Kluyveromyces lactis: one gene and its partners. The protein of the gene in region 1 purifies or fractionates together with the protein of each later gene. This does not show direct contact. Links are inferred from orthologs where the notes say so. Each region holds a gene or a part of one and is shown on either strand. Other genes may lie near its edges. The genes, in order: NPL3, XRN1, STO1, RPS2, MUD1, CAF20 and YRA1.

Evidence for each region.
Region 2: the proteins of NPL3 (region 1) and XRN1 purify together in Saccharomyces cerevisiae (affinity purification with western blotting; 4 studies listed by BioGRID, with this or other methods). This does not show direct contact. The link is inferred for Kluyveromyces lactis from reciprocal best matches to the Saccharomyces cerevisiae genes NPL3 and XRN1.
Region 3: the proteins of NPL3 (region 1) and STO1 purify together in Saccharomyces cerevisiae (affinity purification with western blotting; 7 studies listed by BioGRID, with this or other methods). This does not show direct contact. The link is inferred for Kluyveromyces lactis from reciprocal best matches to the Saccharomyces cerevisiae genes NPL3 and STO1.
Region 4: the proteins of NPL3 (region 1) and RPS2 purify together in Saccharomyces cerevisiae (affinity purification with mass spectrometry; 3 studies listed by BioGRID, with this or other methods). This does not show direct contact. The link is inferred for Kluyveromyces lactis from reciprocal best matches to the Saccharomyces cerevisiae genes NPL3 and RPS2.
Region 5: the proteins of NPL3 (region 1) and MUD1 purify together in Saccharomyces cerevisiae (affinity purification with mass spectrometry; 3 studies listed by BioGRID, with this or other methods). This does not show direct contact. The link is inferred for Kluyveromyces lactis from reciprocal best matches to the Saccharomyces cerevisiae genes NPL3 and MUD1.
Region 6: the proteins of NPL3 (region 1) and CAF20 purify together in Saccharomyces cerevisiae (affinity purification with mass spectrometry; 3 studies listed by BioGRID, with this or other methods). This does not show direct contact. The link is inferred for Kluyveromyces lactis from reciprocal best matches to the Saccharomyces cerevisiae genes NPL3 and CAF20.
Region 7: the proteins of NPL3 (region 1) and YRA1 purify together in Saccharomyces cerevisiae (affinity purification with mass spectrometry; 3 studies listed by BioGRID, with this or other methods). This does not show direct contact. The link is inferred for Kluyveromyces lactis from reciprocal best matches to the Saccharomyces cerevisiae genes NPL3 and YRA1.

Annotation. Positions count from the first base shown.
Region 1 is NC_006038.1:75,966-79,600, forward strand, and holds NPL3 (mRNA-binding protein NPL3), read left to right. Parts: upstream 1-1,473; coding exon 1,474-2,502; downstream 2,503-3,635. Other genes in the region: CYM1 (pitrilysin family metalloprotease), read right to left, coding at 1-644; UBX2 (Ubx2p), read right to left, coding at 3,467-3,635. UniProt on the Saccharomyces cerevisiae protein: Involved in mRNA processing and export. Required for efficient splicing of a large set of pre-mRNAs by efficient co-transcriptional recruitment of the splicing machinery. Remains associated with the mRNP during early steps of translation elongation.
Region 2 is NC_006042.1:2,089,698-2,094,592, forward strand, and holds the start of XRN1 (chromatin-binding exonuclease XRN1), read left to right. Parts: upstream 1-1,537; coding exon 1,538-4,895. Other genes in the region: FG-nucleoporin NUP49, read right to left, coding at 1-996. UniProt on the Saccharomyces cerevisiae protein: Multifunctional protein that exhibits several independent functions at different levels of the cellular processes. 5'-3' exonuclease component of the nonsense-mediated mRNA decay (NMD) which is a highly conserved mRNA degradation pathway, an RNA surveillance system whose role is to identify and rid cells of mRNA with premature termination codons and thus prevents accumulation of potentially harmful truncated proteins.
Region 3 is NC_006042.1:1,605,704-1,610,773, forward strand, and holds STO1 (Sto1p), read right to left. Parts: upstream 3,321-5,070; coding exon 753-3,320; downstream 1-752. Other genes in the region: DLT1 (Dlt1p), read left to right, coding at 1-521; KLLA0_F17545g (uncharacterized protein), read right to left, coding at 4,136-5,070. UniProt on the Saccharomyces cerevisiae protein: Component of the CBC complex, which binds co-transcriptionally to the 5'-cap of pre-mRNAs and is involved in maturation, export and degradation of nuclear mRNAs.
Region 4 is NC_006042.1:901,572-905,053, reverse strand, and holds RPS2 (40S ribosomal protein uS5), read right to left. Parts: upstream 1,901-3,482; coding exon 1,121-1,900; downstream 1-1,120. Other genes in the region: mRNA-binding protein NAB2, read left to right, coding at 1-542; OM14 (Om14p), read left to right, coding at 3,316-3,482. UniProt on the Saccharomyces cerevisiae protein: Component of the ribosome, a large ribonucleoprotein complex responsible for the synthesis of proteins in the cell.
Region 5 is NC_006038.1:785,390-789,139, reverse strand, and holds MUD1 (Mud1p), read left to right. Parts: upstream 1-2,100; coding exon 2,101-3,018; downstream 3,019-3,750. Other genes in the region: TEF2 (translation elongation factor EF-1 alpha), read left to right, coding at 267-1,643; CBP6 (Cbp6p), read right to left, coding at 3,262-3,732. UniProt on the Saccharomyces cerevisiae protein: Involved in nuclear mRNA splicing. The principal role of the U1A is to help fold or maintain U1 RNA in an active configuration. It is the first snRNP to interact with pre-mRNA.
Region 6 is NC_006039.1:633,901-637,066, reverse strand, and holds CAF20 (Caf20p), read left to right. Parts: upstream 1-1,928; coding exon 1,929-2,372; downstream 2,373-3,166. Other genes in the region: CEF1 (Cef1p), read left to right, coding at 85-1,716; SCJ1 (Scj1p), read left to right, coding at 2,974-3,166. UniProt on the Saccharomyces cerevisiae protein: Acts as an inhibitor of cap-dependent translation. Competes with eIF4G1/TIF4631 and EAP1 for binding to eIF4E/TIF45 and interferes with the formation of the eIF4F complex, inhibiting translation and stabilizing mRNA.
Region 7 is NC_006041.1:255,329-259,956, reverse strand, and holds YRA1 (RNA-binding protein YRA1), read right to left. Parts: upstream 2,999-4,628; coding exon 2,744-2,998; intron 1,508-2,743; coding exon 1,094-1,507; downstream 1-1,093. Other genes in the region: COI1 (Coi1p), read left to right, coding at 338-661; AFI1 (Afi1p), read left to right, coding at 3,840-4,628. UniProt on the Saccharomyces cerevisiae protein: RNA-binding RNA annealing protein. May have a role in pre-mRNA metabolism. Component the TREX complex, which operates in coupling transcription elongation to mRNA export.

The DNA of each region.
Region 1 (3,635 bases):
TCACCACCAGAGTTATTCAAGGATGGATAATAGCTTTCTTGAAACTTAATCCAGAAATAATAGTTAGCATTGGATACTTGACCCTTCATTTCATTGTATACAACACCTTTGAAACCTATATCGCTGTTTGGATCATCAACCTTAGTGTGTTCAAGCCTCCAACCTTCTTGTAGGAAATCTTGCTGATTCAACAATGGATTTAGAGTTGCATCAAGGTAAACGTCTCTTAGATTAGCAAAATCCGTCTCATTAGTGGTAGCAAACGGGTAAAAAGTATAGTCATGACCAGTCATAGCGTTCATGAAGTTTGCCAACGATCTGTTTAACATCTTGAAGAACGGATCGCGAACAGGATACTTATGAGAACCGCAAAGAGTTGTGTGTTCCAAAATATGTGGCACACCAGTTGAATCCGGGGGATTGGTTTTGAATCCGATACTGAACACGTTGTTGTTATCATCTCTATCAATATGTAAATGTTGTGAACCGGTTTGGTTATGCAATAAATCCACGGCTGTTAGCTTTAGTTCAGGGACAGGAAGTAATCGTTTCACTTCATATCCGTGAAAAACGCCACCTACTGGGTACTTCCTCAGCGCCCGAGACTGTGCATATTTTGTGGCATAGTTACGAATTTGAAACATGGTATTTTATAATGCAAGAATTCTCCACCTGGATTTAGATTCAATATTCCTTCGCTTATATTTCAAACCCAGTTTTTTCGATCTTGGTATATTAATCAATGATTACTGTCGTCAACGATTCTATAACGATTTATTGCGAATAAATAGATAAAAGAAATGCAAAGAGAAAACGAACGGTCAAAATATCGGAAATATCCCCTCTAAACTGCTAGTTCGCTTGGCTTTTCGTTTCTTGCCTCTGAGATAAATTCGCTAAATTGACTTATCAATATGTTAAGAGACCTTTGGCATGCTCTAGTATCTTTCCTCCAGGATTCCATACTATCGAAGAAAAACAGCTATGAACTACGGTCTCACTTCTGACGAGTTAAAAAAATGAAAAACTGAAGTTCAAGTCACGTGATACATGTGTCACTCTTACCTTTCTGTATAACAATGGTAAATACAAGTAGCAATGAGAGCATTTGATCAATATAGCCTCTCAGATCGTATTTGGTAGGAGTATGACTTGTATGAGGGCTTATATCTGTGCATGCGATACTTATCAGCACTCATTCTAAAAAGACTTGTACCGAGGATTCCAGAGTTTTACCCTACCTACCAAACCTTGTTTGACACTATTCTCTTCTGTCTTTTCTTTTCCCGATGTTCATTTAAAATTTTCACTTTCTCCTATATATAAAGACATATTTAAAACCTGGTTTTTGGAAAAAAAATTCTACTCCATCATCGTTGAGTGGCGTTGCAGTATTGTTTTTGACTAAGATATTAGTGTTTCACTTCTTTTGCTCAAGGTACAACCAAGAACACTTACTCGCGAAATATCAAGATGTCTGACGTTCCTCCTCCTCCAGCTGTCGAAGAAGAAACCTATGAAAAGCCATATGAAAAGCCATATGAAAAGCCATATGAAACTGCTCCACCACCTCAAAGTTATGAAAATTTCAATAATAGAGTTGATGACGATGAAGAGCTTTCTGATACCAGACTATTTGTGAAGCCTTTCCCTCCAGATGTCACTGATGCTGAAATGAAGGAAATTTTCGAACCTTTCGGTGCTTTGAAGGAAATAAAGATTTTAAATGGGTTCGCTTTTGTTGAGTTTGAAGAAGCTGAGTCTGCTTCCCAAGCTATTCAAAACGTTGCCGGTAAAATGTTTGCCGACTACCCATTGGAAGTTGTATTTTCCAAGAAGTTAAAGCCAAGATTCAGAGTCATTATCAGAAACTTGCCAGAAGGCTGTGCTTGGCAAGAATTGAAGGATTTGGCCAGAGATAACCAGTTAGAAACTACTTTCTCCAGTGTCAACACCAGAGACTTTGACGGTACTGGTGCTCTTGAATTCCCAACCGAAGAGATCCTGCAGGAAGCCATTGAAAAGTTGAACAACATCGAATTCCGTGGTTCAGTTTTGGCTGTTGAAAAAGATGAAAACCCACCACCAATCAGATCCTCTCGTGGTCGTGGTGGTTTTAGAGGCCGTGGCGGTTTCGGTCGCGGTGGCTTTGGTGGCCGTGGTGGTTTCGGCGGTCGCGGTGGTTTCGGCGGCCGTGGAGGCTTCGGTGGTCCAAGAGGTGGCTTTGGTGGCCGTGGCGGTTTCGGCGGTCGCGGTGGCTTTGGCGGTCCAAGAGGTGGCTTTGGCGGTCGCGGTGGCTTCGGTGGTCCAAGAGGCGGTTTCCGTGGTGGCCGTGGTGGCTACGGTGGTCCAAGAGGCGGTTACGGTGACTTTGGTGGTCGTGGCGGTGGTTACGGTGGCCGTGGCGGTTACGGTAACAGAGACTACGCACCAAGAGAAGACTACCAAAGAGGCAGCGGAGAAGGCTACCAAGCGCGTGAAAGATCTCCAGTTAGAGATTAGAGGATTTCTGGAGTGCACAAATAGCTTTCATCTAAGAATGTTGTGAAATTACTTCAAGCATCAAACCGTGTGTCCCTACCATTATCATCGGAGTTGGTATTAGCTTTCTTTTGTCACTTTTAACAGAATTATTATGCTTACTATCTTAGGGAGTTATAAGCTCTTGTTTTCGCCCGTTGTTTTCATACTTTGTCGTTACACCAAGAAACCTCTGAACTTTACTTGGAATTTGAATTTACTCACAATTGTTGGGAATGAATTGAAGGTATCAACCTTGATGGATTGAGAATAAAAAAAAAAATTAAATATTAGTATAGGAAAAACCTCCCATCATCAGGAAAAAATCTTTTTACTTGTGGATCCGAACAGAACATCAAGGATCGTGAGGAGAAGGAAAAAATGATTATGTTTTTATAGTGGATTATTATTGTATTGTTTTATTATTTATCTTTGCGACTAGAAAAGAGGTCTTCCAGAGTAAGGAAGAAGTAGTGATGATCATGGAAATCAATTTCGCGAGGGAAATTGGTTGTGTTTTGTAACTGTGCTTGAAAATCAACCTTAACTCCAGCTCAGAATTGTTACAAATGGCACATATATGTCAGCGTCAAAGACTGCGCTTTTAAACGAATCAACAACTTATTGTTTCTTGCATCCGATCAGTGGATTTTGTCTTAGTCCATTTTCCAATTTGTGATTCTTAATCTTGCATTGCCGACATTACAGTGCATCAACCACCATTATTTTGTGTCTCTTCAAGAAAATGGTAATGTAGAATTGTCTTGAACTTGTAGGAGGCCTACGAAGGCCTTGACGTTATCCTGATGTGTACGAATTTGATTCTTTACAAACTGGGCGGTTTGTCGGATCAAACTTGTACCCACCTTAAACAAATCTTATTGATAAAACTGTTGTTATGCTCTAACATCGACTCCTAGTCACTTGACTATTTAATTTTATATCGTTATGTTGAATGACCAGCGTCATCACTCTCATCCTCTCCTTCGGAGCTGTCATCATTGTCCAATGATTCTATCAAGAGACTCCCGTTTGGCCATAGTTCTGACCTTGTTTTCAATTGAATGGATGGATCATTTGGAGTTTGTTTTCTAGGGAAAGGCGAAACCAACTCA
Region 2 (4,895 bases), on another chromosome or scaffold:
TTTGTATGTGATTAATTTTTCCTGGAAGAACTTATCTATCTCAACGTTTGATATTTTGAATCCCTTACTGACTAGTTGTTGCAACATTATAGCAAAATTTTCCAATTGTTTAACATCTTTATCCACTAGTGTCTTGATGGCATCGATTCGTTTCAAATCTGATGATAGTGATCTTGTTGCGTTGAAATGCAATTTTTGTAGATACTTGATGTCACGAGGGATTGAATCCAATAGTTCAGTTTGATCTTGTAGATCAGCTTCAAGATGTTTGGATAAAGACACTTGCGTTCTAATGAATTGGTCCAATTGTTCGATTTCTTGACGAATTTGAATCGGAAGCTCCGATATCTTGGTCATCGGCGTGATAGCTAATTGGTTAATGAAATTAATGGCACTCTGTTGAGTCTGTTGTATCTGTTGTTGTGGTGGCTGTTGAAATTGATTTTGTGTTTGTCCAAACATTCCTAAACCAGATTGTTGGGATTGCTGTTGTTGATTTCCGAATGGGCCTCCGGTAGTTGGTTTGGATCCAAACAATCCTCCACCAGTTGCAGAGCCTCCGAAACCGGTAGTCTGTGGTTGTGCTGGTTTGGATCCAAATAATCCTCCTCCAGTTCCAGAGCTTCCAAAACCAGTGGTCTGTGGTTGTGCTGACTTATTCCCGAATAAGCCTCCGCCAGACCCGGCTCCTGAGTTACCAAATAGGCCACCTGTGGAGCCAGTGGCTGTATTATTAGAACTTCCGAAAAGTCCTCCTGCGGTTTGGTTCGTATTGTTGTTGGTGCCTGCTGGATTACTGCCAAATAATCCTCCGCCAGTCTGTGTCGCTGTATTGTTATTGTTTCCAAATAACCCTCCTCCAGTGTTACCTGATGTGGCATTGTTATTACCAAAAAGACCACCGCTAGTGCTTTGCTGGTTGCCCGTATTCCCAAATAATCCTCCTCCTGTGCTTGGTCCTACTGGAGGACCTGTAGAAGAAGAACGGCCAAACATTTCGTTTCTATCAGTAATAAGAGTATTAGATATTTACACGCCGTAAATTCAGTTAATTCAACTTACTGTTCAGTATCAATTGGTGTCTCAATTCTGCTCTCTCCATCTTTCTTTTTAACCTCATCTGTTTACTTTCTCAGTTTCCATATTCAAAATGTTTTCAACTCTTCCATCAAAGAGTATAAAACAAGAAAAAAAAGCTTGAACTTATGGATCCGGGTAACCCATAAACCTCGTCTCAAAAAATTTTGCCACCACCAAGAAAAATATTCCGATTGAACATTGGAAAGAATTACCAAATTACCTTAACGATTATGTTACTAAACAGTAGCTTTGGTTAATGTACTTTCAGGGTCTTTCATCCATATCAGGGTATATTATAACAATTCACTAAAAGTGGTTACTCATTGTTCGGCAACGTATACTACTGGTACTATCCAATCCCAGTTGTTGTTGATCTTTTCTATTGTTGGAGGAAAAAAGTCAGTAAAGCAAACCTCAGAAAGTGTTCAATTAATTACGGTTTGTGGCTTAACTAAAAATGGGTATTCCAAAATTCTTTCATTTCATCTCTGAGAGATGGCCTCAAATTTCTCAATTGATCGATGGATCACAGATTCCAGAGTTCGACAATTTGTACTTGGATATGAATTCTATTTTGCATAATTGTACGCATGGTGATGGTAGCGAGGTGAATTCAAGACTATCAGAGGAAGAAGTTTATTCCAAAATTTTCAGTTATATTGATCATCTTTTCCATACTATTAAACCAAAACAGACATTTTATATGGCAATCGATGGTGTGGCCCCAAGAGCAAAGATGAACCAACAAAGAGCTCGTAGATTCAGAACTGCCATGGATGCCGAAAAGGCTTTGCAGAAGGCCATTGAAAATGGTGACGAGTTGCCTAAGGGAGAGCCATTTGATTCCAACGCTATTACCCCAGGAACAGAATTTATGGCAAAATTAACCGAGAATTTGAAATATTTCATCCATGACAAGATCACCAACGATACCAGATGGCAGAACGTGAAGGTTATTTTCTCCGGGCATGAGGTTCCTGGTGAAGGTGAACATAAGATCATGGATTACATCAGAGCAATTAGAGCACAAGAGGATTACAATCCAAATACAAGACATTGTATCTACGGGTTAGATGCTGATTTGATCATCCTAGGTTTATCCACCCATGATCACCACTTTTGTTTATTAAGAGAAGAAGTTACTTTTGGTAAACGTTCGTCTTCTGTGAAAACTCTAGAAACACAGAACTTCTTCTTGTTGCATTTGTCTATCTTGAGAGAATATTTGGCATTAGAGTTCGAAGAAATAACAGATTCTGTGCAGTTTGAATACGACTTTGAAAGAGTATTAGATGATTTCATCTTTGTATTATTTACCATCGGTAATGATTTCTTACCAAATTTGCCCGATTTGCATTTGAAAAAAGGTGCATTCCCTGTGCTATTACAAACTTTTAAAGAAGCTCTCCAACATATGGATGGTTACATTAATGAACAAGGTAAGATAAATTTGGCAAGATTTTCCATTTGGTTGAAGTACTTGTCCGATTTTGAATACCTTAACTTTGAGAAGAAAGATATTGACGTTGAATGGTTCAATCAACAACTTGAAAATATTTCCTTGGAAGGTGAGCGTAAACGTACTAGGATGGGTAAAAAGTTGTTGATGAAACAACAAAAGAAATTGATTGGCGCCGTAAAACCATGGTTATTGAAAACCGTTCAACGGAAGGTCACTTCTGAATTACAGGATGCCGATTTCGAAATTTTCCCTCTTGAGGATAAAGAATTGGTTCGGGCCAACCTGGATTTCTTGAAGGAATTCGCATTTGATTTGGGTTTAATTCTTGCTCATTCTAAATCAAAAGATTTGTACTACTTCAAGTTGGATTTAGACTCCATCAATGTGCAAGAAACAGATGAAGAGCATGAAGCCCGTATTCACGAAACAAGACGTTCTATTAAGAAATATGAACAAGGTATTATTATTGCATCTGAAGAAGAATTAGAAGAAGAGCGTGAAATTTATAGCGAGAGATTCGTTGAGTGGAAAGATCAATACTATAAAGATAAATTAGATTTTTCCATCAATGATACTGATAGTCTAAAAGAAATGACAGAAAACTATGTCGGAGGTTTACAATGGGTTTTATACTACTATTATCGTGGATGTCCATCTTGGTCCTGGTATTACAGATATCATTACGCTCCTCGTATATCAGATGTGATCAAAGGTATAGATCAGAACATAGAATTTCACAAGGGACAGCCTTTCAAGCCCTTCCAACAATTGATGGCCGTCTTGCCTGAGAGATCAAAGAATTTGATTCCAGTTGTGTACAGACCACTCATGTATGATGAACACTCTCCTATCTTGGACTTCTATCCTAACGAAGTAGAGTTGGATCTAAATGGCAAAACAGCAGACTGGGAAGCTGTCGTCAAAATTTCATTCGTGGATCAAAAGCGTTTAGTAGAAGCAATGGCTCCTTATGATGCTAAGCTTTCTCCGGATGAAAAGAAAAGAAATTCGTTCGGAACTGATCTGATTTTCATATTCAATCCTCAGGTAGACACAGTTTACAAAACACCACTAGCGGGGTTGTTTAATGATATTGAACACAATCATTGTATCGAAAGGGAATTCATTCCAGAATCGATGGAAAACGTTAAGTTCTTATTTGGTTTGCCAAAGGGCGCTAAACTCGGAGCTAGCTCTTTGGCCGGTTTCCCATCCCTAAAGACACTACCACTAACTGCAGAGCTTGCTTATAATTCTTCTGTTGTCTTCAATTTCCCTTCTAAACAACAATCTATGGTGTTGCATATTCAGGACCTTTACAAGGAAAATGGCATCTCTCTGTCAGATCTAGCAAAAAGACATATGGGTAAGATTGTTTATTCAAGATGGCCGTTTCTAAGAGAATCTAAACTTTTGTCGTTGATTACAGAGGAAACTGTGTATGAAGGAGTTAAGTCAGGCAAATTAACAAAGGTCATTGAAAGAAAGCCTCAGGATTTTGAAAGGAAAGAATTTAGAGAGTTGAAGATGACTCTCAAATCGAATTATCAAAGGACAAAGGCCATTCTTTTGGATGACATTTCTGCTTTGGCTAAAGTGGTTCCAGTAAATGGATTGGTGAGAAACTCTGATGGTTCCTATTCTAAGTCTTTCAATGAAACTATCGAATACTATCCTTTACAATTAATCGTAGAGGACGTAAAAAATAAGGACGAAAGATATATTGAAAAAGAGCCGTTACCAATTAATAAAGAATTTCCAAAAGGTTCAAAAGTTGTGTTTTTAGGTGATTATGCGTATGGTGGGGAGGCGACCGTTGATGGTTATAATAGTGAGACTAGATTAAAACTTACAGTCAAAAAGGGTTCTCTCAGAGCAGAGCCTAACATCGGAAAAGTTAGAGCGAAATTGGATTCTCAAGCCTTGAGATTCTACCCAACACAAGTGTTTTCAAAAATAGCTCGTGTCCACCCTCTCTTCTTGTCAAAAATTACTTCAAGATATTTGGTCAATGATTCTAAAAAGAAAAGCCATAACGTCGGTTTGATGATCAAATTCAAAGCAAGAAATCAAAAAGTTCTCGGTTATGCCAGATGCAGCTCAAACAAATGGGAATACTCTGACGTCGCTCTTGGTTTGTTAGAGCAGTTCAGATCTACATTCCCTGAGTTCTTTGCGAAACTTTCTAACTCGAAGGAACAAGCAATTCCATCGATCACTGATCTCTTCCCTAACAAATCTAGCGCGGAAGCTGATTCCATTTTGAAAACAGTGGCTGATTGGCTCTCAGAAGCAAGAAAACCATTCGTGGTGGTGTCTTTGGAAAGTGATTCGCTAACCAAGGCTTCGATGG
Region 3 (5,070 bases), on another chromosome or scaffold:
GGGCTTTGCTGTTGAATTTTGTCACTGAATCGGATCTCAGTACAACTTTCAAAACAGCACTTCATAAACTTTTCGAGAATGAAAAACACCCTTATAAGCAGTATTTGGATGAGTTTATCTCGCTTTATGAGAAATTCCGATTTAGTGGACAAGATATTGAACGAAACGATTTCGTAAAATTCTTAAGACTCTACAAATATCTCGCTGATTTATCGAATAATTTGGATTTAACAAGAATCGAGTCTGTCCCATCCCAATTTCTTCACGTTCCTACTGAAGATTATGACACTGATGCCAGATCTAGAACGGACTCCGAATTCTCAACTCCATATTTACGACCTTACCCGTCTGACGCCTTCATGCATAATACAACCCCTGCATCACATGTGGGCTCTCGCTCCAGTAACTTCAGTTACGATATAGATGAGTCTGCAGAACCACCAGAATCTGTGGAAGACCAACAAAGATATCATGACATGCTCACTAGAGTAGACACTTACAATACCGTCATACATAGATGATTAAAATACCGGACAGTTTCTGTAACTTATTAATTAAAGCTTTTGGACTTAATAATTATAAACAACAACGACTCTTATCTTATATAATACACAACGATGCAGAAAGGCATCAAAAAAGAGAACATGACTAGGAGGGTATCATTAGCAAACAACCCATCGTATCGAGAACTTTGATGTCAATTCGAAATCAATATACCTGGATATAAGCTGGCAAGTAGTTCTGGTTCACGCTCATAATTCTGAAACTTCCGAAATCCATCTGTTCAATTGTTGCTTGGTGGGTTCATGTGGCACGCCTTGTAATACATCATTGATGAACTTTTCCGTCAGAACGCTAAACTCATCCGAGTATTTTCTGAGCACACTCTTTAAGAAACCCATAATTGCTTCGTATTTCCACGCAAGGTCTAATGATGGTAACTCTTCGTCTGTTGCCTGAATGTCTTGATCAAGATCTGGAACAACAATTGGATCAATAGTGTTCAATTGCGACAATACCTCGTTAGCAGCACCCACCAACCTGTTGAAGACATACTCAAAAGAACCAACATCTTTGTCAGCAGCCATAGCCAGCTCATTCAAAATTCTGAAAATAGACTCAATAGAAGTAGAGTCGACGAGACTCATGTTTACTCCACACTGTTCGGTCAAAGAAAAGTTTAAAACTGATTCATTTGAAATTAGACCATTATATCTCAAAGAGTCCAAAATCAAGTAACCAGTTTGAGAGTTACTATTCCAGTATCTGACAACCGCCTCACAAATCCATTGATCTTTAATTTGCGGCGACACCTCTACCTGTGCCATAATTGCTTTCAACTCTTCTCTCGAATCATCAATATATTTGTTTGCATGGGAGAGAGATCTACTACCACAGAAAACAATGGTTTGAATCAGAAGAGTCACAGTAAATCTATTGAAATCTTCAATAATTGACCCATGGTTTACAGCAATGTCCTTGAGAATACCCTCCAACTCTGCAACAGATCTGGTGTCAGGTTGCTTGTGGAAGAAATCCAAAAGTTGAGTTACGTTTTCATGGAATGGGAAAGATGGAGATCTGAAATATAGCTCATTGTTACGAAGATCGCCTTCATCCAATTGGAAATCTTTGAAAAGAGAGGAGTAATAGTTAACAAGATCTTCTCTCTTGATGAAAGATGGATCCATGAATTTTTGGAATTCATCAGTAACACTTTCTTCAACATCAGCAGAATTGGACGTTAATCTTAATTCCTTTCTGATCAAATTCTTAATGAATATCATTCTTGGATTGTAAATAGTTCTATTCCACTGAATGGAATCAACTTCCCACTCATTCCATTTCCATGAGAAATTGAAGTTACTCATTTGAATTGAGAACCAATCTAGGAACCTAGCTTTTAACTCGAAGTCTAGTTTATCCAAATTGTTATAGAAATATCTGAAAGCTCTACCGAAAACAGGAGCAATAGCTTTTGGCGAGTTCTTGCAAATTTCTACCAAAAGAGAATAGAAATAGGCAAAAGATTGAGAAACAGTAGGTAATTTAAAAGTTAATTCTAAGATGGCACCAACGGCTAAATCTTCGATTTTGAAAGTACTTCTTGCTGGGTTTTCTTCAAATTGTTCCAAGAGTTGGGCGACAGGAAGGCCCGGTTCAGTGAAAATACCCGCAGTGAAGAAAAGATCAATCGTTACTAATTGTCTCGCAACTTCAAGTCTATTGAACTCCATACTTTCGATTATATCAAGAAGAATATCTTGAAATAACATACCTGTGAAGGTGGTAGTTGGTATCACGGTAGAAAATGGACCCACACTGTTCGGTAAGTAAACCTCGAATGAATATCTTGGAGTTTTCCATAGACTATCGACTGAACCGAAGCCTTTGTCTAAACCTGAAAATGGAATAATTTGTTCTAAAGTTGGTAGATTCAACGGCTCATTAAAAGAATGAATTGCTATTTGTTGGGTCAATAAGGTGTCATAATTCAGGAAAAGCTCGCCTAGTTGTTGCATATCGTTTGCCAATGCGTTCTTGACATTTGGCAAGACAGCAGTAACCCAATGAACTGGTTCATATGGTGGGTTCTTATTGTATGCTTTGAGCAATTGAATATCAGTATCTTTAATGTTATATTCGTTTTCGACAAAAGTGAGTAACTCCTCAACTAAAGTTTTTAACGATTCACGATTATCCGAGTTGAAGTAGAACAAATATGGAACGTTCAACAAGGTGTTGGTATAGATGGCTTCAGAAAGTGGGGATCTTTTCTCCGTGGAATTGTTTAAATCGACGGTAAACTGCAATAATTTCTTGTACAAGTCAAGCAAATCATCTGGTACCACCATTGGCGATAGAATGGAGATAAATCTGAGTACTAACTTAATTTTATCCCATGGTCCAATATCATGAGATTTGGTTTGGTAGTCGGGGTCATGACTTGAATTAAGTAACTCTTGAATTTGGTCAAAGAAATAATTCAAAATACTTTTACCAATTTCTGGTTTAGCTGAATTTAGCACCATGGTTAAAAGAGCAATACCTGGTTGCTTATGAGGTTGTTCCAAGATAACTGCTCTGAAAGTTTTCAAAAGTGCGTTGTTGAAATACTCGTCATTACCGAATTCATGAACAATGGCCTCACTTAGGAACTTGATATCTTCTGGAAAAGCCTTGGCCGATTCACCCATGGTCCTGATATCAGGCATCATGTCCTTACAAAGCATGACAACGGGTGGCAGCCTTTGCCTTTTGGCAAAATGTGGCCTCGCTTCACGATAACCACTCTCTTCTTCATAATCTACAAGAATCATTGTGTTTCAGAAACAGTTGTTAGTAATTATATGCTTTTCCTTGGAAAACGTTAATGTAAGTCTCAGATATATATCTGATACTATTGCTTTCTCTCTGAGTTCTAAACCAAAGTGTCAACCAACCGACTACTTTTAACGAAACTTCTTCGATATTATTCAGAGTAAATCATACCGAAAACTTGAAGTATTTATACCGATTGTCGATGGGATGTCTCTCTAGTCTAGATGTGTGTTTTGTGGCAATCTTGGAACCGTCTGTCATCTGTCTCTCTTTGCTGACGTCGCTGTCAGTTGTACTAAGGGAAAACTTAAATCTGATATAACAATACGTCAGAGATGGATAGAACCTTCAAAAAACAATGCAAAACTCTAACGTCTTGAATGGTGACATAAATTAAACATACCAAAACCTCTTTTTGACATCTCTCGGGTACTTGATGGCGTATTGTTGGATATAATACTGATATCAGTTGGCAAAATCTTGATTGTAACGTTATGAATTCGTGTTTTCATATATTTTAATTTTTTTTCAATTTTCATTTTGAATTCTTGTTATGGAGACGACCAGACAATCAATGCCATTCGATACTTAGGCCAACAGGTACATAGTTGAAATTGTTAAAGCTTACGAATGTCAGGGTTTCACAGCCTGTAGATTACCATAATTAGATAACAATGTGTTTTCAACGTTTTTTAACATATATATGTATATTTCCCAAATTATATAGGTATATGCTTGACTGGAAAAGAAATCGCAGAAATAACGAGACCTTCAAAATCGGAACGAACCATACATGGATTCTTTTCATTTTGCTTCAAGAATCATGTACTTGCTTCTGCAACTGTTCTATCAGTAGATCTTTGGACTGCAGTTGCGTCTTCAGCTCATTTATTTGAAGGGCGAGTTCGTTAGGAGATGGCTTTATACCATGTTGGTATAATAAATTCTGTTCTTCTGCAATGAAACGTTTGAGCCTTTCTTCGTTCAAATTTTGAATCAACTCAACAATCTTTGACGATTTTTTCCTTAATTCCGTTTCGAAATCCAGTAGAGAAAGAGCCTGAGGTGACTCTGGTTCCTTCGGATTCTTTGATTCTAATTCACTTTCTAATCTACCTTCCCTTGCGATAGACTCGGCTAATTCCGTGGAAACCAATTGTAGCTCTTGCATCAACATCATATTTTGTTTCAAAATATTCAAATACTCTTCAGTGATCAACAGGGGTTGTTTGGGATCCTTTTCAGAAGCAAAAGATGGCTTATATGGCAACGCGGAAATAGGTTCAGCCTTCTGTTTTACATATTCTTTCTCAAGACAAGGCACTTCCTGTATCTCTGTGCTTTCACCAATAATCATCGACTTACGAATTTGCAAAGTTGATCTGTCAAATGTCTTTTCCTTATTACTATATTGGTCGTGGTGATTACCAGCAGATGACGCGGAAAAAAGAGAATGATATGATATTCTACGTTTATCGCTGGATGCACCCGATTTCGCCCTGAAAGTATCATTTAACTGGATTTCGGATCCTTCATCTACTGCCATCGAACTCCTGCTGCTTCTAGCGGACGAAGGTACAGTAGTGAGCGGTCTTTGATCGCCACTCTTCGTCCTTTTGATCTTCATCAAAAAGTTCTTCGCTTTCTGGAAACTGCTGCCTGATTTCTTCAAGCCTTTTTCACCAGAACATGCGATATAGGAATCATGTTTTGATTGTAGTACTTCGTTAGTATTACTATTCCCACTGT
Region 4 (3,482 bases), on another chromosome or scaffold:
TGCAATGCACTGATCCGACCTGTAACAAGGCTCACAGTTCCTTATCCAAGATTAAGGAAATAAAACCAATCATACACAAGCCAGCACCAAAACCGGTCATTTCTAAACCTTCTAATCCAAAATTCGCGCCAAGATCGGTTGTCCCATTGGAAGAAAAGATTTTGGAACAATGTAAGTTTGGTCCAAAATGTACCAATAAAAATTGTCCAAAGAGACACGCAAGGTCGTCAATCATGTGCCGCGAGGGTGCGCAATGTACAAGAATAGACTGCCTCTTCGGTCACCCTATCAATGAACCTTGTAGGTACGGGGCTGAATGTAGAACATACGGATGTTTATTCCAGCATCCTCCAGAAAGGGTATTGCCTGAAAAGCCAAAAAAGCCTGATACAGAAAACACCAACGGTATTTGGTTCAATCCGCAGCTGATTGGAAGTGGAAATTCCTCGAGTAACGAGAGACCATTTGCTGTACCAGAATCTAACGTACAGTCAGTTCATGCTGGACAAGAAGTAGATGGCGATGCTATGATGATGAGTTAACATTCCAATCTACTCCGCTCTATTTAATGGTGATATCCTTAACTGTTTTATTTGAATTATTATTATAGTGTTATATCTATTAATTATTAAAAAAAAAAAAAGTCTTAAAAGGTAAAAAAATACTGTAAAGTAATAAAAAAAAAAGGTCAACCGGAAGAAAGACTACTGTAAAAAAGAGACTGGCAGTGTTTAAATTCCAGAAGCCTATTAATATGATTGGCGTATCTTGACCTGTACTCTAATGGTCATATAAGAGAAATCCCTTTTACCTTGATTTTATCACTATCTCTTTTTTTTACCATATGTCTTTTTCTCTGGTTTTTCTTGCTACGAAGTGTATAGGACAGTCATATAGTTTCCCTTAGTTAGTTTGTCACGTATATTGATCATTTATTATGATCGATCCTAAAGGGTTAAGGTCAATTATAATGAGTGTGAATATATATGATATGTAGCTTGTGAAGAGAAGAGGAACAATTGGTAAAATGTCAACAATATATTATTGTTTCAGAGAAAACATACTGACAGCTATAAAAAAATATCTATACAGCACAGTTATAATATTTTAAAGATGACATTTACAACTTCTTCTTGGAAGCAGTGGCGTAGTCGGCGTAGACATCCATTGGGGAAGGAGTCAAAGCTTGGACTTCCCACAAGTTTGGAGTCAAGAAACCGTAGGTGTTACCGATGGCAACGAAAGCGGCCTTCAAAGTGTTTTCCAAAGTTCTGGTGGAACCAGTAGAAGAGGTGTAGACATCTTCAACACCAGCCAATTGCATCAACTTCTTGACAGCTGGGGAGGCGACGATACCGGAACCTCTTGGAGCTGGAATCAATCTAACGGAAACGGAACCACACTTACCAGAGGTCTTGGTAGCCAAGGAGTGAGGTTGACCCAAGTTGGTACCCCAGTAACCTCTTCTGATTGGGATAACGGACAACTTGGCGATGATGATACCGGCTCTGATGGCACCAGCAACTTCCTTAGCGGTCTTAATACCCAAACCGACGTGACCGTTGGAGTCACCAACGACGACGACAGCCTTGAATCTGGTTCTTTGACCAGCTCTGGTTTGCTTTTGGACAGGCTTGATGTTCATAACTTCATCCTTCAAGTTTGGCAACAATTGGTCAATGATTTGGAATTCCTTGACTGGCAAAGAGTGCAAGAAGATTTCTTCGATGGAAGAGATCTTGCCGGCCTTCACCAATCTACCCAACTTGGTAACTGGAACCCAACCCTTTTCTTCTTGGTCTCTTCTACCACCTCTTCTACCACCTCTGCCACCTCTGTTGGCACCACCGAAACCACCTCTACGTGGAGCTTGTTGACCTTGAGCTTGTGGAGCAGACATCTTTGATTTATCGAATTGTACTTAATAAAGACTTGTCGGGATTGGATCACGGAAAGTTGATGGATAGGTAACTTTCAATCGACAATAAATACAATGCGTGGGGAGCTTCGAAGGAGAAACAAATAGAGATTATAAAATTAAATTACTTAACGTTTGGTAAGATGCAGCTTTGTTTAGTGATGAGATAGATAGGTCTCATGTGTGAAAAAAAAATATCCGACGTGTTTGCATGGTTGTGAAGCTAGAAACCTTTGAAAAACTTTGATTGTACTGGCAGGGTAAGAGGATATAAAGAGGCTATAAATCACGTGTCAAGATAGTTTTGTTTAAAGGTCAATATTTCCTATTAAAGAAAGTGGCGATCATTATTGAAAAAAAAGATGGAAATTGAAATTGCCGAATGTACGGGTGTTAATGGAGAAAAGCAGTCCACAAAATTTATATCCCGACTAGGAGATATAATTTGGTTACCCTAGGTTACCCCAGGTCCGGCATGCATTTTGCTTTCTCAGTTTGCTTTCACCGCAATCAGGACATTCAGTCAATAGGACACAGAAAAGTATACAGAAGAACAGCCCTTATTTTACGGTAACAACATTATCAAGCCATGTTAGTAGCAAATACACTCCAATTGGCCTATTAGACAGAAGCAAATTCATCTTCTGAGACAGAAAAGTGATTACTTCTATCGCTATCCAGCGTAAATGACGTTTATGCCGCACACCTTCTCAGCATCTTGGAAAGAAAATGTTCAAACGTGGAACAGAGAAGCCAAACTAACGCAGCGGGAACCGGCTGTAACCGCTCCATCCGTATTACAATACATAATACATAAAAGCACTCACACTACATCACCAATAGTTACACTTCGTCACACTGTGACATTTCATCATTGTTCGACTTTTAGCTTTTATCGTGATTGGGATTGTGATTGTGATTGTGATCTCCCGTTTTCTTTTTTTTTTTTTGTTTTCTAGATCAGTTCTGAGCACGGATATTTAAGTAGCGATATATCCCTGAAAAGTACGATATTATATAACTGCGATACTACTAGTAGGGTATTGTTTGAGTCTTCTCCACAAGATTGTCTTAGTTTAGTAACCTCAGGTCCAAATCGAAAAGTTCAAAGTTTGGTTCAAATCAGTTCAGAATCAAAGCCCATACCGGTGTTTTTTTTTAATAGTTCCTTTAGACAGAAATACCATAATCAGTTTACCCTTTTTTCTTTCTATAAATTCAACCCCGAAAATATAAAGAGACAGAAAAAGCCGAAAAAAAATAGTGCTCATTAAAATAAGGTAAACTATCGTTACAATTTTGTTAAGGCTTTAACATTTTCTATATTCTCTCTATTATCAACTCTTTAGGGATTCAGTTTCACAACAAACGTATCAGTGTATCAACAGAAAATAAAAATGTCATCAGAAAAACACGACGCTCAACACCACAACCAGCAGCAAGAAAAACGTAAGGCAGCTAAGGACGTCAAGGAAGCCAAGGAGACCGCTAAGAATAAGGCTTCACATGCTGCTCATGATGCCCATGATGCCGTTGATAAGGCTCATGACGAAGTTAAAAAACA
Region 5 (3,750 bases), about 710 kb from region 1:
AAAGAAAAATCTAATTAAATTGATTTGGTGATTTTCTGAGAGTTCCCTTTTTCATATATCGAATTTTGAATATAAAAGGAGATCGAAAAAATTTTTCTATTCAATCTGTTTTCTGGTTTTATTTGATAGTTTTTTTGTGTATTATTATTATGGATTAGTACTGGTTTATATGGGTTTTTCTGTATAACTTCTTTTTATTTTAGTTTGTTTAATCTTATTTTGAGTTACATTATAGTTCCCTAACTGCAAGAGAAGTAACATTAAAAATGGGTAAGGAAAAGTCTCACGTTAACGTTGTCGTTATTGGTCACGTCGATTCTGGTAAGTCTACCACTACCGGTCATTTGATCTACAAGTGTGGTGGTATTGACAAGAGAACCATTGAAAAGTTCGAAAAGGAAGCCGCTGAATTGGGTAAGGGTTCTTTCAAGTACGCTTGGGTTTTGGACAAGTTAAAGGCTGAAAGAGAAAGAGGTATCACCATCGATATCGCTTTGTGGAAGTTCGAAACTCCAAAGTACCAAGTTACCGTTATCGATGCTCCAGGTCACAGAGATTTCATCAAGAACATGATTACTGGTACTTCTCAAGCTGACTGTGCTATCTTGATTATTGCTGGTGGTGTCGGTGAATTCGAAGCCGGTATCTCCAAGGATGGTCAAACCAGAGAACACGCTTTGTTGGCTTTCACCTTGGGTGTTAGACAATTGATTGTTGCTGTTAACAAGATGGATTCCGTTAAGTGGGATGAATCTCGTTTCCAAGAAATTGTCAAGGAAACCTCTAACTTCATCAAGAAGGTCGGTTACAACCCAAAGACTGTTCCATTCGTCCCAATCTCTGGTTGGAACGGTGACAACATGATTGAAGCCACCACCAATGCTTCATGGTACAAGGGTTGGGAAAAGGAAACCAAGTCCGGTGTCGTCAAGGGTAAGACCTTGTTGGAAGCTATTGACGCTATCGAACCACCATCCAGACCAACTGACAAGCCATTGAGATTGCCATTGCAAGATGTCTACAAGATTGGTGGTATCGGAACTGTGCCAGTCGGTAGAGTCGAAACCGGTGTTATCAAGCCAGGTATGATTGTTACCTTCGCCCCAGCCGGTGTTACTACTGAAGTTAAGTCCGTCGAAATGCACCACGAACAATTGGAAGAAGGTCTACCAGGTGACAACGTCGGTTTCAACGTCAAGAACGTTTCCGTTAAGGAAATCAGAAGAGGTAACGTCTGTGGTGACTCCAAGAACGATCCACCAAAGGCTGCTGCTTCTTTCAACGCCACTGTTATCGTCTTGAACCATCCAGGTCAAATCTCTGCTGGTTACTCTCCAGTTTTGGATTGTCACACTGCTCACATTGCTTGTAAGTTCGACGAATTGTTGGAAAAGAACGACAGAAGATCCGGTAAGAAGTTGGAAGACTCTCCAAAGTTCTTGAAGTCCGGTGATGCTGCTTTGGTTAAGTTCGTTCCATCTAAGCCAATGTGTGTTGAAGCCTTCTCTGACTACCCACCTCTAGGTAGATTCGCTGTCAGAGACATGAGACAAACCGTCGCTGTCGGTGTTATCAAGTCCGTTGACAAGACTGACAAGGCCGGTAAGGTCACCAAGGCCGCTGTCAAGGCTGGTAAGAAATAAGTTTAACTTGATACTACTAGATTTTTTCTCTTCATTTATAAAATTTTTGGTTATAATTGAAGCTTTAGAAGTATGAAAAAATCCTTTTTTTTCATTCTTTGCAACCAAAATAAGAAGCTTCTTTTATTCATTGAAATGATGAATATAAACCTAACAAAAGAAAAAGACTCGAATATCAAACATTAAAAAAAAATAAAAGAGGTTATCTGTTTTCCCATTTAGTTGGAGTTTGCATTTTCTAATAGATAGAACTCTCAATTAATGTGGATTTAGTTTCTCTGTTCGTTTTTTTTTGTTTTGTTCTCACTGTATTTACATTTCTATTTAGTATTTAGTTATTCATATAATCTTAACTTAACGTAACAACAACTTTCATTGTCAACAAATTTACTAATACTAATACGTATGGACTATTTGTTAATAGGTTGTGATATCCTTCTCTATTAGGTTATTACACATGCCATACAAAGCTAGTATCTATCGGCAAGCAATGGTCAGTACCTTATATCTGTCGAATCTACCGTCGAGGCCCGACTCATTGTCCAAATTCAGAGCCTTACTACTATCAAGTGTTAATTCAGATCATCGTTCTATTTCAAATGATGTTAGTACAAGATTCGATCTGAACTCGAAGAAAGAAACTAGTGAGGCTGATGCGGTTACACCAGTACTCGATGAAAAGTATCAGATCATAGAGGTATCAAGGTATGGCTCAAGACCCTTGAGGAGGTCTTGTTTCGTCACTTTTAAGGACTCAGACAGTTGTAATACGTTCCTTATAGAATTTCAAGGCAAGCTCAAGATTAATGGGAGAAAGATAAATATAAAGCTGGCGAATACGGATTCTTTCGCAGCTTTGTACTACCAGGGACAACAGAAACAGCTACAGGATGAACTTCGGTTACGTACACGTAAAGCTGTGGATAATTCACAGCCCAAGACCAAGACAAAAAACGAAGTGTTGAAAAGAAGGTTAAGAAGAGCTAGAAGTAAGCTTAGAAAGAAGGATTTGGACGAAGAAACCATACAGAAGCTTCTTTCAAAGCCCAGAAAAACAAATCCTGAAGGTACCAACAAGACTGCTATGTCACAGCAGTCGGAGAAAGTTTCCTCCACTAAAAAAGTCTTTGACATTGTCGGAAATCCCCCTCACCATGTCCTATTGGTTCAAAATCTTCCAAAAGATGTTACTCAGCAAGAATTGGAAAAGTTATTTGTCTCAGATGGATTTAAAGAGGTTAGATTGGTCAGTGTCAGAAATCTTTGCTTTGTTGAATATGATTCTACAGCAAATGCCACTAAAGTTGTTGAAACCTTAGGTCATGATCATCCATTCAAGAATGTAACGATAAAGATTGGATACGCCAAGAAATGATTCTACATTTCAATGCGAATCAATAAATTCAAAGCGTTCACAGGTCGGAACTGGAACCAACAATCTACGCTTTAATAGTACATTTATCAGCAACAGATAAACAGAATAAATAGAATAGATTGAATATAAATTATTTACAGTCAGTGTATGGAGGCCTGTACAGTACAGATACACTAGAAACGAAAAAGACAGAAATGATATATACATATATGCATACGAAGCTCTAAAACCCTGAAACCGAAATTACTTACCAAATACGACAGTTCTCATAGCTGTAAAGAAAGTTTCCTTACCCTTACCTTCGATTTCGTCATGCAATCTTTTGTAATAAATTGGGTTACCTGCTGGCTTGTATAATTTGTCCCCTACAGCATAATAATTCTTATATTTATCGCTCATTATAGCATTCAACGATCTTATCTGTTCTTGGATTTGAGTATCGTTGAAATGTTCTTCTGGTAAAGCCTCTTGAACTTTCTTTAATAGATCTTTCTTCAAACCTAATGGGCCAGAAGTTCTGTTGATAATATCCTTAATCTCTGCAAGAGAAGGCTTACTTTGCTCAGAGGCACTACCGGTTTCTATTCCGGCAACTGGACGGAACCTATCTAGTTGTGACTCTTTGAATGAAATGAGATGCTTAACACGCTCCTTAGGGAACTTCTCTAACAGCTTCACTAATTGCTTAGCACTTTCTTTTGTTGCTTGCGACATCTTTGTTTTGTATCTGTG
Region 6 (3,166 bases), on another chromosome or scaffold:
ATAGGAAACTAATTAATAATAGTATCAGCTAAAGCTGTAACGTTGGTTCAAAGGGAAGTTAATCAAAGGCGGTAACCACGTACGATGGCTCCTGTTCCGATTTATGTCAAAGGTGGTATTTGGACGAACCTTGAGGATCAAATATTAAAGGCGGCTGTTCAAAAATATGGAACACATGCATGGAGTAAAGTAGCTTCGCTTCTACAGAAGAAGAATGCCAGGCAATGTCAATCTCGTTGGAATGAATTTTTGAATCCCAGTCTAAACTTCAAACCATTCAGCCAGCAGGAAGATGATAAACTACTAGATTTAGCGAAAAGAATTCCAAACCAATGGAAAAGCATCGGAGAAATGATGGGTAGACCTGCTCAAACATGTATCGACAGATATAATATCCTCCTGGCGATTGATAAGGATGATTTAGAGCTTGCAGCAACTACAGGGGTACAGATCGGTGAGATCAACCCAAATAACGAAAGCTTACCAGCCAAGGCTGATAAAGATGAGCTACTTGACGAGGAGAGAGAAATGTTGGCGGAAGCTCGTGCCAGGCTATTAAACACTCAGGGTAAAAAGGCTACTCGTAAGATAAGAGAACGTATGCTAGAAGAAAGTAAGCGTGTTGCATTCTTACAGAAGCGTAGAGAGTTGAAACAAGCGGGCGTTGATAGTAAAATCAAAGCTCCCAGGAAGAAATATTCTTCGCAGATGGATTACAACGAGGATATTGCGTATGAACAGCAACCACTACCGGGTATATACGATACCTCAAAGGAGGATGAACAGACTGAGAAGCTACTCAAGAGTTTTGAGAAATTGGTAGAAAGGAAAGGTTTACTTGACAGGAAATCTGATGAAAAGAAAACCATACCACAAAAGAGAAGGCAAGGCGAACAAATAACGTCATCAGTAACAAAATTAGATTCTGTACTAACTGATGAGTACAAGAAACCTAAACTTGAGCTTACTCCTGCTACTTTAAAAGGATCAAAACGGAAGATAAACAAAACAACATCTATACTTCATTTATTTGAATCATTGCCTTCTCCTAAGAACGATTTTGAAATTGTATTGGATGATTTAGATGAAGAAATGGAATCCACTGATGCTTTTAATACTGAAAGTTCGTATGTTAATGGTAAATATCCCCTAGAAGCCTTAATATCTTCCACGGAACATCAATCGGAAAACAAGGCAATGGAAATAATGGAATACATACCGACAGTATTCCAAATAAAAACAGAATTACAGGTACCCAGTCCGATAGTAGATCCAAAGAATGAAATTGACCGTGAATTGAATCGTATAATCTCAGCAAAGGAGAATGGTAACCCCATTTACAATTCCACGGAAGTAAACAATTACTTAGAAGAGATCATTAATTCTGCATCCACCACCGAAGTGCCCAGCACTGTCTTACATCCCAAGTTGGAAACTAGCTTAAAAACTATAACACCGGCTACGGAGCACGAACTGCTCGGCATGGAACGAAAAGTGCATGAACTGCGAACAGCGCTTGAGGATTCCGTCAAGTCTCACAGAGAGGCTGTTTCACAACTTTCACAAGATTTTGAAGAAAAACTACATCCGACAGTGTCAGGCTTAGCATACCAATACTACACTGACTACATGAAGTACAGGAACGACCATAAGACTATGCAAGAAGAGACACAATCTCTTGCGGAACAGATCAAACTTGCCCAGCGTAGTCAATGATTACCCGGACCCTTCTTTTTGAGTCTTCCTTCCATAATCATGAAATTTTCAAATTATGAACTTAAAGATGAAAAGATTTACGAAATTGCAAACTTTAAGAACAATATGAGACAGTTAGCAATTGCTCTGTGTGGACATAACAATTCTCCCCTTTATTTCTACTGGAACTCTTTCGAAGCCATCACAAAGCAAATACTAATTCCCGGGCCACGATGATCAGGTACACAGAAGAAGAACTTTTACAATTAAGACCAACCGAACCAGTTAAACCAAACTTCGACGTTGATGAATTCAACGCTATAATTGAAAAAGTGAAAGAAATCCAAGAAGCACATGAAGAAGAATTTTCTCACTTCAGAAGAAGATCTTCTCACCACCATGCTAAACCAAAATTCAAGCATTTGAAACCAAAAATTACTACCGATGAGGAAGGATGGTCTACACTAGAAACTGCTCCAGCGGTCAGAAGAAAGTCTGTGGCTGAAGAAGAAGAACCAACCATTGTCATCGCTCAAGAAACATTGAAGGTGAAGCCAAACAAACACATTTCATCCTCAAGACCAGCTGATGCGAGGGATATCGTCGCAGACAAGCCTTCAAAGGCTTTCAATGCATTTGCTGCTCTAGAAAGTGACGAAGAAGAAGAGCAAGAATAGGGTAGACATATAAATGATAGAAACGTTTAATCTTATATCGTATTGTTATTAACGAGTCCTATATCTTTACTCTTTTGAAAGTCCGTTAATAATATATTTATTTGTTTTAATGATTCCACTTGGGAAATTAGTAGCAAGAAACACATAATAGTTGCTTAACATAATCGTTGCAAGTCTAAGTATGATTCTATATAGTTGGTAGGATGTGACTTCTAGTAATACCTTCGTTTGTACAATGCTGCATGTTTGCAGACGTGTTAACTTTTGACAGGTTTTTTTTTTCCATGGAAAGAAAGCTTTATGTAGAACTGAAAATAACTGTTAAAAGTGTTTACAGTATGGCACATTCAAAACAGGTATGAATGACGAAACTGCCTTATCATCAAAAAGGAAGGCATTGGCTATCGTTCTGTGTACCAAGGACCACTTAGCTTAGTTGAATTTTTTTTAGTGGATTTAAGATCCTCATTCACAGGAAATTCGCACTAAAAGTTGTGCCATTAATTTGATTCAAAGAATTTAGCTTGAAATTTAGTCTCAGATATCAGACCTCACAGCAAAGACATTGGCGTAATTCACGGTCATTTACTTATACCCAAGAATGGTGAAACTTTCGACACTTTTGTCCTTGGTATGGTTGCCATTTGTTATTGCTCAAGATTATTATGCAATTCTTGGAGTCGATAAGCAAGCCAGTGAGAAAGAAATCAAATCTGCTTATAGACAATTGTCCAAGAAATATCATCCTGATAAGAACCCAGGTAACGATGAAGCTCATCATCACTTCATCGAAG
Region 7 (4,628 bases), on another chromosome or scaffold:
ACATTTTTTTTCTTTCTTTCTTTATTTCCGCAATGGGTTACGGCGAACCTTTCCTCAGCGAAAGAAATCTAAGGAAAATAAAGATTTGAATTCAAATATGAGCAGGAATCAGAGATACTGAGCGAAAGTAGTAGAGGAATCAGTTAAATAAAAAACAGATTGAGAACAGCATCATAGAGCGTGTTGATAAAAAAATAGATCCTGAACGGAAGAAGGAACTATTCGGATTGAGTGACGAACCATATACCAACTTTGAGTTTTTATTTTTATTTGGCTTTTGGTTTCTAGCATTTAGCATCAGAGAGCAAACTTGGTAGATACAATCTTTTCAATAAAAATGTCTAACCCATTCCAAAATATTGGTAGAAACTTTGCGTATTTGTGTATTGGTCTTACTGCTTCTATAGTTATCGTCAAGACCGTTGTACGTGATGCTAAAGTTTCCAAGTTCGACCCGCAGAATTTGAGTGGGGATGAGAAGAAAGATGCAGATTCTTATTACGCAAACCCTGCTCTGGTGAAACCAGGGTTCCCCATGAAGAAAGAAGAAGAAACCACGGAAATAAAAAGGAAAAGTGAATTTGAAGGGGCCGGTTTATCCTACAATACAAGAAAGCGTGGTGATAGATTAGGGTTCTTGGATAGAAGAAGTAACGAATGATTAATAAGCAAGATTTTAATTCTGCAAGGCAATACACGAACCTACCCATCACACTTATTTATTAACAACACACACAAACACTGCAATGACTAAATGAAACAATCTAGAAATATATCCTGTTCTTTACTGAAAGATTCCTCATGTAAATAGTGCTTAAAGAAAGTGAAATAAAATACAAACTATTGATATCAATATTATAATAAAGTTTAGCTAGGTAAGAAAAGATAGGCCGAGCACATAAGAAAGATACGGATTTTTTTGATTGAGAAACCACGCAGTCACACCGGTTGAAATTGAGGAATATAAAACAAACAACAAATGAACTGAACTTCTAGGATGTCTAACGAATAGATTCGAAAGCAGAGACAATCCGTTCGTTATTAAGGAAGACTTTATAATTTCTCAGTCCAGTAATTTCAAGAACGCAATATCTTATTTGGATTCTTCAAAATAGTCAGCCATTTCCTTGTCTAAGTCTTCCAAAGACTTCTTTTCTGGCTTAGCTCTTTTCTTTTGCTTAGCAGCAATGGCTTTCTTGTTTGGACCGGCTGGTTTCTTCTTAGGTTGAGGCTTTGTTGGAGCTGCCTTCTTGTTTGGCGCGGCAGCCTGAGCATTCTGTACAGGGCGGATTCTGTCCAATAATGTCTTTCTGCTTGGATCGACAATCAACGTCAATCTCAATTTGGATTTACCACCATCAATTGGTGCGTTGTGGAATTTCTTTACAGCTAAGTTAGCTTGTTCTGCGTTCTTAAAGGTAATAGTGGCCATACCAGTGGAGTTACCCCTTTCGTTGTAACTCAACAAAGCTTTTTGGACACCACCGACTTGATGGTTGAAAAATTCCTAGTAATAATAAGGGAGCAAAATTTTTGTTAGTGAAACTATTCATAGATAACTGAAAACAGCGGAGTCTTCAATGAATAGTCCTGTAGGAAATCATTCATGTTTACAATTCATCATACATGTACGACCCGGTCAATTCTGTCACGATATGAAGTTAACTCTTAAACAGTAAAATATACCACAAATGGGTTTCATTAGGTTTCGATTTGAAGGTAGGATCTAACATGACAACCAACAAAAAGTAAGTATACTATAACTTTTCTCTTTTCTATTTTTTTTCTTGGAGAGTAAATCTGGAGTCAGTGATGAGATCTCAACCAGACAAGATAGAACATGTTCATAGCAGAATGACAAATGAAAATCGATTTCAAATCCAGCATACCCATCTCGATTTATTACATTCATTGAAACTTGCTTTTCAGTGGCGTTTCAATTTTTGCCAATTTTTTTGAAGTTGTCAAACACGACGACCTTGCTAAAAATGTCGCACTATCTTGAAGATTGAGGCATCAAGCTAAACACACACCAAGGAAGAGGTCAAACTTAATTGTTCCTACAAGGTGTACACCAAGTAATCTTCTTCAAATTCCCAGTTCTTTGCAAAGAGTTAGAAAAAAGAGAATAATACACTGGGCATCATTAAAAAATAGATGCATTGCCAAATGTAATAAATGGTAACAGAAACTCCAGTGACACATAATGTCACAAGAATAGAAGATATGACGAGAAAAAATAGATATACTTCATCTTTTCGGCATTTCCCAATCGTGATTCACTACCGTTTCTCCATCAAATAAAATGTCGTAAATAAACGAAGTTCAGTGCATAATTTTGATGAAAAGTTCTGTCAACTTAGAGGAGAAAAACGGAAAGAAATCACAAAGGAAGGCTTGCTGAAAAGCGAAACCCAGCCAATTGGATAGCTAATTTCGTTTTGTTATATTTCATTAGCTCAATAAAAACTAACTCTGAAATAAATTATTCACACATCAATATCAGACCTCAAAAAAGGTATCGATCGACCGTTTCTTCTTAATCAAATACACGGGAATGTATGATCGTATAGTAAACATAAGGATGGAATTCCACAGGATATATCCGTTGTAAACTTAAATTAACCGCAAGTCTTATTGCAGTTTGATCCGATTTGTTTTCGCAATCAGTACAGTAGCATCTCGACAGTCCTTTTCATTAGAAAAGAACCTACTAAGAGGCCATGGCTAAAATGGGACATACTTTAACAGCGTCTTGGTTAATGTCTCTTGGCAAACCCTCGACATTAACTCTAGTAGAAATAGGAGCTCTTAGCAAAGCTGGCACTAGGGCAGCAGCAGAAGCAGCCTTCTTTGGAACTCTAGAAGGACCGGCACCTGTTCTGGTACGGCTCTTGTTGACTTGCTTAGAAACCTTCTTTGGCCCGGCCTTGTTGTTTCTTCTGGCATGCTTGGCTGAGCCAATAATTTCATCTAATGATTGATCTAGAGCAGACATTGCTTATGAGAGTGTAAAAAAAAGAATCTGATGGGTAGCTGATTCGAAGGAAATAACTTATAAAGTTGCTTGCCTTATGAAGTAGAAACAAAGAGAAATTTGAAGAACAACTTTCATGGAAAAAGGGAAAAAAATTCCAATGGGCAAAAATCTATGGCTCCTTTTATACAAAAAAAATCAAATATCAAACTTTTTGTCCAATTCTTTTCAAGAAAATCAAAACCAGCACGATCAACAAAAGAGGGTAACGATTGTCATTTTCTAAGATCTGCTGCATATGTAACGGTGTACTTACTTCATTCCTGACATGATAAAGATTTTTGTGAATAACAGTCATTTCAAAGACTAAAGATAATGCTCCATAATTTCGTCGAGGGGACTCATTTGTTTCCAACAAACATCGTTTAGCTTTATTTCGTGAATTGTAAGGCCGCAACAACTGAAAAGTAAAATCCGTTGATATATAAGATAGACAGCTATTCGATCAATCTTATGTTCAAATGGATCGCTTCCGCAGATAGACCCAAGTAGGCTGTGGCGGGAATCTTACAACGCTTAGTATCCAAACATTCTTCTATGCCTTCCTGTCATAAGCGAATAGAAGCCGAATTGAATCCATTTACAGTCCGGGTAATTTCATGATTATTTCACTGTTAGCGATATTATTTGGTTCATTTTATTTGATCGGTTCAAAAAGAAAGACGATGATGGGTCAAAATCGTGCTATTTTACAGCGAAATGATACAGACGTCTCACTGGCAAGTTAAATCTCCGAACGACGGTCAGGTGGTAAACGGACTGACTCTGTAATTAAAGAGGAAAGACCGCGCGTTCACCAGTTATGAAACACTCTTCCAAGGTAAAAACAGGATTGAACTTTCACCTACGACAATCTCAAAATGAACACACACACTCTAACCCCAATGTTCAATTTATAATAGCGGCAGAATTTGATAACAAATCTGGGCCGATAATAAAGCATCAATATCCAAAGACAATCCCTGGTTTTAAAACTATTGGGAGTGATTCCACTTGTTCTCATTTGGCCAGTTTGATGATACCGAATAGTGTGGAGAACCATCCAGGTAAACCAGATTTCACTGTTTTTGTCTTATACAAGAATCAAAACGTTTACCAGTTGTTTCCTGTATCCAAAAATAAGACTAAAGGTACTGACTTGGATTCCTCACTGATAATTGAAGAGGAAGACTTTGAAGAAGAACAAGAAAATGGACTGCGAAGTGGTAAGATTGGATCAATTAGAGATGATAGGCATTTAGAGGAAACTGAGCCACCATTATTTTTCTTAAGTGTCGTGAACACGTTTTTAGATAATTCAAATGATCGCGGTGCTTATATAAAAGCCATTGCACTGGGTACTACTATGACAAACTTTTACACATTTAAACCATTGTTAACAATGGTGCTTGATCACTACATGACATCGAATAACAACGATATTAAAATACTTATAGACTGTTTTGACATGATTAACAGTCTTGATCTCTCTTTGGTCATAAGATTCCATTCCAATGTTGTACTACAAAATATTCTAAACTCTATCAATGACGAAGAAATTACATCCAAAATATTTGATGCAAACGAAAACTCTTTGCCCAATATACTTAGG